2 linked regions of the Solanum lycopersicum genome follow. Each later gene encodes a partner of the first gene's protein in a complex. Links are inferred from orthologs where the notes say so. Each region holds a gene or a part of one and is shown in the gene's direction. Other genes may lie near its edges.

Region 1 (3,977 bases):
ATATGGTATTCTTTGGTGTAATTAGTTGTGAACAAAAACAACCCATTAATATCTTCTGGTAAATAAGAAGTATAATAAGTGGCTTAGTGTAGTTAAATTGTGGTTTCACATTCATACACCATGACGAAATTGTCAAGAGTACACAAACCTACTTTAACAATACAATATCACACAAAAGCTTATATATTTGTTTTCTCTAACTTTTAACATTATGTAGTTCAAGTAGATAGTATTCTTTCAAGGTGAATTTCAAACTCTATTATGTCAAGTTCTAATCTTAGGAGGTTCAAAAAATGTATATCTATACATAGAAAGATTTAAAAATACCTAATCTGCGGACGAATCTCTCTGTCTGTTTCTAATTATACTTCGAAATATATTAATTTAACTAGCTTATGTTCACACCATGTGAGACTATTACGATGGAAATGCGGCCAGTAGAATTTCTTATTTACATTCTACACTTTAAATCAAAAATGAAAGAATCTTATTCATTCCACCACATTCCTTGATTATAATTTCATTTATTATGCATTCATTTTGATATTTTTATTTGACTAGTATATTTTAGAGTCTCAAATCAAATGATTTGATATTATGGTAAATATTTTGTGTGAACTACATAAATTTCATAGTTTTGATATGAAATTACAATCTATTCCTAATAAGTTTCTAATTACATTAATACCTTAAAAGTTAAAAAATCCGAATACAATAATTGAAGATCAGATATATTAAATATGATCTCGGATACATTAATATGTTGCTTGCATACATTAAAAATTAACTCGGATACATAATATGTAGCTCATATATATTAAATACTGGATCAGATATATTATTGTGTAACTCGAATACATTAAAGAATAATTTTTTTTTAGAGATTTTTGAAAGTAATAGGGGATAATACAAATGAGTGAAACAAAAGAGGTGTATTTCTATTTGTCCAATATTTTCTTATTAATTGCAATAAACTATATTTCTGACCCGACCCGACCACAAAAAGATTTAGGAAGATCATATGGCCCAAAACCCTTCTGTGCCAGTATAATACCCTAGCATTTTGCCTGGACACAGCTTCAACAAAAATACTTTATTAGTACTAATAAATAAATATATACAGTTGAAACAAGCGAATCAAAACCCCAGATTCTCTCTTTTTGCTGCAGCGGCGAAAATGGCGAACCCGGAGGAGGCTGTGGATTTCGAGCCAGAGGAAGACGATCTGATGGACGAAGACGTTGACGCTTCATCACCTAGGGCACCGATGCCAAAGCTGAAATCAGCCATTACAGGTGGCGGCGGCGGTTCTTCTGCTTCTAAGAAAATCAAAGGACGGGGTTTCCGTGAAGAGACTGCTGAGGCTGAAAGGAATGCTCGCCTTTCTGCTCGATTTGATTCACTTGACTCCGAAGGTGGCCCTGGACCTGAACGATGTTAGTTTCTACTCTTAACTCATCTTTTATATAACCCAACGAACTTTCTACCTCATTTTTTTCTTTTTTTTTTTAGAATTTTGTTCAAATTAGGGGAAAATGTTGCAGTGGGTCAACAATTCATCAAAACCCCAGATTCTCTCTTTGTGCGCTGGTGTTAAAGAATTGTTACCTATAATTGTTTTCTCTATGATTTTGTGACGGGAGGTTGATAGTTGGGGTAATGGGTAAAGTGTCTTAAGGAAATGTTTTAGTCTGGTTAGAGACTTCTAATTAAGAGAATATCTAGGTTTAGGATGTCTTAATTTTAACAGGTTAAAAATTGCTTATTCTTATAATTGTTTTTCTTTTGGTTTTTGTGTTATGAATAAAGAAAACTGCTACAGGTTGGTAATCCGCGTAATGTAATGACCCTCGAAGGAGTGTGTTTAGTTTGGTTTACAGTGTTGAATCTAGAGAACATCTAACTTTAGAAGACTAACATTGAACACTCAAGTGTTGACCCTGTTATCTTTAGAGTTTTTTCACGAGGTGCTTTTATGGTTTTATTGAGTGTATTTAGTATACTTTCTAGTTTTGGTTTAATTTGTTATCTGTTATTGATTAGTTGAACGATATTAAATTGCTTTTGTGAATGAGACCATGTTAAGGTTTCACCTACATTGTATAAGCAAGCAGAATTAGAGAAGTGAATAAAGAAGTTAGGACCTACTGCTAGTAGAAGTTGATTTTGTTCATCTGTGTGAAGAAAAGCAACTAGAGAAAGGAACACTCAAATATTGCTTGTACTCATCTTCAAGTTGTTAGGACCCTGTAACGGTATCTAGAAAGTGGAATAACTTGAAGATAATTAAGTCGAGGTCTTTTTTTGTCAAAAAAAATAATTAAGTTGAGGTCTTCATTTTCAGAAAGAGTGGAAAGATCGTGAAATAGGGTAAAATGTTTGTACTTAATGTATATCTGTGCTGTTTGGTCCCCTCCTCTAGCCATTGTGCTTATAAGCCTCCGCCCTCCAGCTTCGTGTTCTTTACATTATAAATGTGCTAACCAGTTGGATTGGGTTCCAGCTATTACTTTATTTACATCTAAGAAGCACGTAATGGTAGGCTGTATATTTGTCACTTTATCATTGTTGCTTAGCTTTTAGAGAGAGCTAGCTTTGTATAGCTAATGCAACTTACCCTCCAACGGCTCAGCTTGGTCTTCAGCACTTGCTGTCGGAGAAATTGGCCAACAGAATCTAATATGCTGATTTCAGTCGTAGATATTAGTTGTTTGATTGCTGGGTCACCAGCACTTCAAGTAATATGTAATTTGTGCTGGGTATCTCAGATATTTTTCAAGTTATGCAATTCTAATGTAATAAAAATCCCAAAATGTCTGATAGGTGCTGATTCAGACATGCATGGTGTCCCCCCCCCCCCCCCCCTCTTTTTTTTTTTTTTCTTTTCTTCAATATATATATATATATATATATTTGAAGTTACCGGTAAGGTTAATAAAGGTTTAGTTTAATTAGTAGTAGAGAGCTAATGAGGGGAACATCTGCAGCCATTGAAGGATGGATTATTTTAGTCACTGGAGTCAATGAGGAGGCACACGAAGATGATCTTCATAATACATTTGGTGAGTTCGGGGAGATCAAGAATTTGCATTTGAATCTGGATCGTCGTTCTGGATTTGTCAAGGTGAACTGACTCTTTCTTTCTCGGAATGTTTAGCTGCTTGCCTGCTTCTTTGGGTTTTGGGTGTTGTACATATGATGCTATATGAATTGCATCCCCATTGTATGCTTTAATCTAATAAACTTTCCTATCAAAAGATTTTGGATGATGACAAAATTCTTTTGATCAAGAAAAATTTGTTGAAGTTTATAAGTGACAGACATTCCTTCTTCCATATAACTATGTAAGAGCATTTCCTTGAATGAATCTGTAATGGAGTAAAATGGAATAAAATAGGATCAATGCTATGTTAATTATGAAGGATTCTAGATAGATACTTTTCTTTGTTTTAAGTTTCAACTTTTGTCGTAGTTTGGAGTGGTATAGTTTTTATACAGTTTTCCATTTTGACAGGGTTATGCACTTATTGAATATGAAAACTTTGAAGAAGCAGAGAGAGCTATTAGTGAAATGGATGGGAATGAGCTGCTAACTCAGACTATACATGTTGATTGGGCATTCAGCAAAGGTCCTTTTAGAAGGAGAAATGTTAGGAGGAGGTATTTTTCTTGGTTAATCCAATTAACATAATTTTGTGTAGAATAGCTGTGAAAAAATGTTGCCTGAATCAAGGATACACTTTTTCACTTTTAATCAATGTTGGCAAATGTTCCTTCAGAAGCATAGATTTACCCTCTTGACAAAAAGTCGGGGCCTTCAAATTATTTTCAGAGATTGGAATAGCTACTTCTTAAACATTTGCAACTGGATTAATGTTATGACGTCTGTAATTGTTTTCTTGCGAACTGTTTCACTATAATATATGTCGTTTATTGTATTGCCTTCAACTCCGTAGGAGTGGAATTGTCACTGGCCT
Region 2 (4,002 bases), on another chromosome or scaffold:
TTGTAACTTTTATGTATACGTAATGTATCTAAAAATATAAATGTATTTAAAACAAATAAGAAATTTAAATGTATCATGACAAAATTGATCAATTATAAACAATTGTAAAGTGCAGGTAGGATACTAACCAAAATCCGAACAACAATTGGGTTTGTTAGTGTTGTGAATGCTTCTAAATTCATCGATCATAAACAATTCATACTCCGAAAGATATAATTCATGATATTAGAGAACTCTATGGGTTCAAATATAATTGTGATAGGTATATTTGCATCACTGAGTTGGAAAAAAACGAAACAAACATATGAAATATAGGATTGCCATTTTAATGACATCCTGATTATTCTCCCATTGATCTATCAAAAATCTTTGAACTAAACAACTTTTGTTTACAATGTTTTTTGAGTCAAGAAAATATCGCTGAATCAACTTGATACGAGTGAAATCGGGATATTTGAATTCATCAATCATTTCTGTGCTTTTTATATCGATAATAATGACAAATTCTTTGATAATGAAATGCAAAATGTTTTCACTTGCGTGACGAATATAGAGTTCATCTATACTATTCTGCTCCAGCTCAAGTAGTAACAATCAACTATGAGCGAAAATAACGAAATTGAAACAATACCTAAGAGGAATGAGAAATTCTTTGACGGGAGAAAGAAATATCTTGAAATTCAAAATCAAAATTAGAATGATAAAATTATGGGAGAGAATATGACGTGAGAAAGAAAATCTTTGACGAAAGAAGAAAATATCTTGAAATTCAAAATCAAAATTAGAATGATAAAATTATGGGAGAGAATATGACGTGATTTCAGAAAAAATAATTAGAGAGTGAAATATAGGTTAAAAGATATGGAGTTATGTATCCAAGAGTTGAGTTTAAGGGGAAAAAAAGAATTTTAGTAATATTTTAAAAAAGAAGAGAATAATAAAAAATAAGTAAACTAATAGTGTATGTATAAGTAACTTTAAGTGCAAGCAAATGAATATTTTAGTCTACTTACAAATTATATATTATAATATTCAGCATGAGTCCATAACTTCTTGCGTCTAAACACTTTACTCCTCCAAAATTCTATAATTTTGGAAAAAAGGCCCTTATGGGCTTTGTTAATTCACAGTTTGGTGTCAAAACTCCAAGGGCGGTGTTTTAGACCTAAAAGGTAGTCGCCGTTGACAGAAGAGGGCAAACTATGGGGGAAATGGCGGAGAATGATGAGTTTTACCTGAGATATTACGTGGGTCACAAAGGAAAATTCGGTCACGAGTTCTTAGAGTTTGAGTTTAGGCCTGATGGCAAGCTCCGTTATGCTAACAATTCCAACTACAAGAATGATACAATGATTCGCAAGGAAGTCTTCCTTACCCCTTCTGTTCTCAAAGAATGCCGCCGCATTGTTGCTGATAGCGAGGTTTTTTATCCTCTCCCTTTTTTTCGACTGCATTTTGTTGTTTTGGCTTACAATTAGGGTTTGGGTCAAACTCGCTTTCTCCTTTGGTTTGCAGGTGATTTTTGCTACATGTTATTTAGGGGTTTTACTTTGATTAGTGCAATGCATCGTCAGTCCAGAACACGTTTGCTGGATGATTAGTTTTAACTATGATGTGGAGGATTCATATAGCTAGATAGCCTCAGTTAATGTGAGAATGAGGCATAATTGATTGATTGATTGTCTATGGGGTGCCGTCCAATAGCTTTCGGTTGTTACTTATGTTCTGATTTAGGAAAAATCCAAATTATTTGTAGGTCAATGATTGTGGGAAGGTCAATGAGAAGACTGGAATTCCAATTTTTAGAGCCATTACCTAAGAATTGGTAGTAAAGAGCCAAAATTCTCATCCCAGGAGAAAGATAATCACCATATTTTGGGCAATTTTGGTGCAACATTCATTGCTGATAAGCAAAATTATCATTTTAATAGCATGGGAACTAGGTCAAATTTTCTAGATTCAATTAGGTGTAAATTTCTAGGTATCAATTTGTCAAAAAGAAGATTTTTCCTTGTTTCATTCATTTGAATCGTTTTCCTAGGAAGACTTCCTTAAGAAGGAGAGAAGCAGCTGCGGTGGAGGGTTGGGGTTTTTCTTTTTTCATGACTAGCTTTCGCTTGTTACTTATGTTCTGATTCTGCCAAAATCAGAGTCTTTTTTTTTTTTTTTATGACAAGGGAAACCCGCAGCCTCTACCCTTTGGGTGCGAACAGGATAAAACCCCGCTCCTATGGGAAGACCAATGAAAAGAGAGGAATACCAACTTTTAGAGCCATTTGGATCTAATAATGTTAGTGAAGAGGCAAAACTGTCATATCAGAAGAAAGATAACCATGTTATTTGGAGCAATTTTGGGGTTAACGTTCATTGCAACGAAGCAAAATTATTATTTTGATAACATAAAAAAACGAGATGTAAAATTTCTAGTTATCACATAAATGAACTTTTCTTGTTTGAATTGTTGTCCAAGTAAGGGTTCTTTTAGGAGGGGGGAGAGAGTTGTAGCGGAGGGCTGGGGTTTGTTTTGTTCAGTGTGATGTAATGTGTGTTTTTTGCAACTCCGACTTTGTATCTCTTCCACCTCTTTACTTTCTTAGTATAAATAATAACTTGACCATCATTCTGATTTCAAAATGGAAGAATTAATTTGCGTGTGTGTTTGTTGTAGATCATGAAGGAAGATGATAACAACTGGCCGGAACCAGATAGAGTTGGTAGACAGGAGCTTGAGATTGTGATGGGAAATGAACACATATCATTCACTACATCTAAGATTGGTTCATTAATGGATGTGCAGACCAGTAATGATCCTGAGGGACTCCGTATCTTCTATTATCTTGTTCAGGTTATGATCTGCAGTAATTTTCTCTTTTTTACTTCTTTATCTGAATATGTCAAAAGCTCAGATAGAAAAGCAAATATCATTCTGGCTATTTACATCCATATTTTATATTTTTACTACATATACATGTAGGTCTCATTTTATCTAGCGGAGTTTATTTTTAGAGGATCCTTTTTCTTCTTTGAAATGATCTAGACGCACTGTACTTTGTATTATTATGTTTCCCTTTTATTTGGAGCTGTACAAGCAATATGGTATTAGTTTTCATCAGCTAGATATATTACTCACTCGAAGCAGATCAGGGGTCCTAGTTGTAAACAGTAAAATGGTTGTTCATATGTGTAAATCTGTTATATGTGAACCTTCTGGACTGATCTGGTTCCAATTGCTTAGTTCCATTAGAAAAATTAACTCCCTTCAAACTCCCTCTTTAGATTGCCTTGGAAACTGGATGGTGAAAGCCTCTGTTCCATCTTTACAAGAATAGAGAAGAGTTACTTTGATTTGGACTTTGGAGATACTTCTCTTATTGCAGCTGGACTTAGTTTGTAGTCTTGTTGCTGCATAATGCTGCTTCTATGGTTGCATACTTTCTCCTTTTTTTCACCTTCCACCCTTCCAATAACAACATGGTTTGATCATGAAGAGAAAGTGATGGGTATTTATTATCGTTTTACTTCTTTTTTGTTTGGTTGGGGGAGATTATAATGATTAGGAGTAAAAGAAAAGAAAGAGCAATGGATATTAAGAATTTCTGCTGATCTTAGTCCTTTATCTTCCTACCTTACGGCAATAATGATCCAGGATGGCAAGAAAGTAGGATATTGTTGGGGGGTGGGGGGGGGGGATGTTTTTTTGGAGTTTAGACTTTAGAAGAATAATGGCGGAGGGGGCTAGGTGCGGAGAGGCCAGCTGAAAGTTTGAAGTCTGTGTGGTGGTATCATGAGGACTTCAGATGATCCAGGGATACAATGGCGTTGAAGTTGGTCTGACCGTATTGAGTGATAAACATCAAGGAGTCTGCCATTTTTTTCTCTAGCATATTTTATGCACCAAAAATATATGAGATTGTGCGTTGGTTAAGGAACAAAGCAGAACCTTTGGTATATAGAAATTTACAAAATGGGAACTCGGCTCAACTTATGCCAGATGTGTAGTTA

What was found.
Region 2: RNA-binding protein 8A-like (region 1) and protein mago nashi homolog share a complex: the UniProt entries of both Arabidopsis thaliana proteins name them as parts of the mRNA splicing-dependent exon junction complex. The link is inferred for Solanum lycopersicum from reciprocal best matches to the Arabidopsis thaliana genes Y14 and MAGO.

Annotation. Positions count from the first base shown.
Region 1 is NC_090805.1:43,323,062-43,327,038, reverse strand, and holds the start of RNA-binding protein 8A-like, read left to right. Parts: upstream 1-1,177; coding exon 1,178-1,436; intron 1,437-2,987; coding exon 2,988-3,124; intron 3,125-3,514; coding exon 3,515-3,660; intron 3,661-3,977. UniProt on the Arabidopsis thaliana protein: Core component of the splicing-dependent multiprotein exon junction complex (EJC) deposited at splice junctions on mRNAs.
Region 2 is NC_090802.1:52,071,423-52,075,424, forward strand, and holds the start of protein mago nashi homolog, read left to right. Parts: upstream 1-1,202; coding exon 1,203-1,421; intron 1,422-2,668; coding exon 2,669-2,845; intron 2,846-4,002. UniProt on the Arabidopsis thaliana protein: Core component of the splicing-dependent multiprotein exon junction complex (EJC) deposited at splice junctions on mRNAs.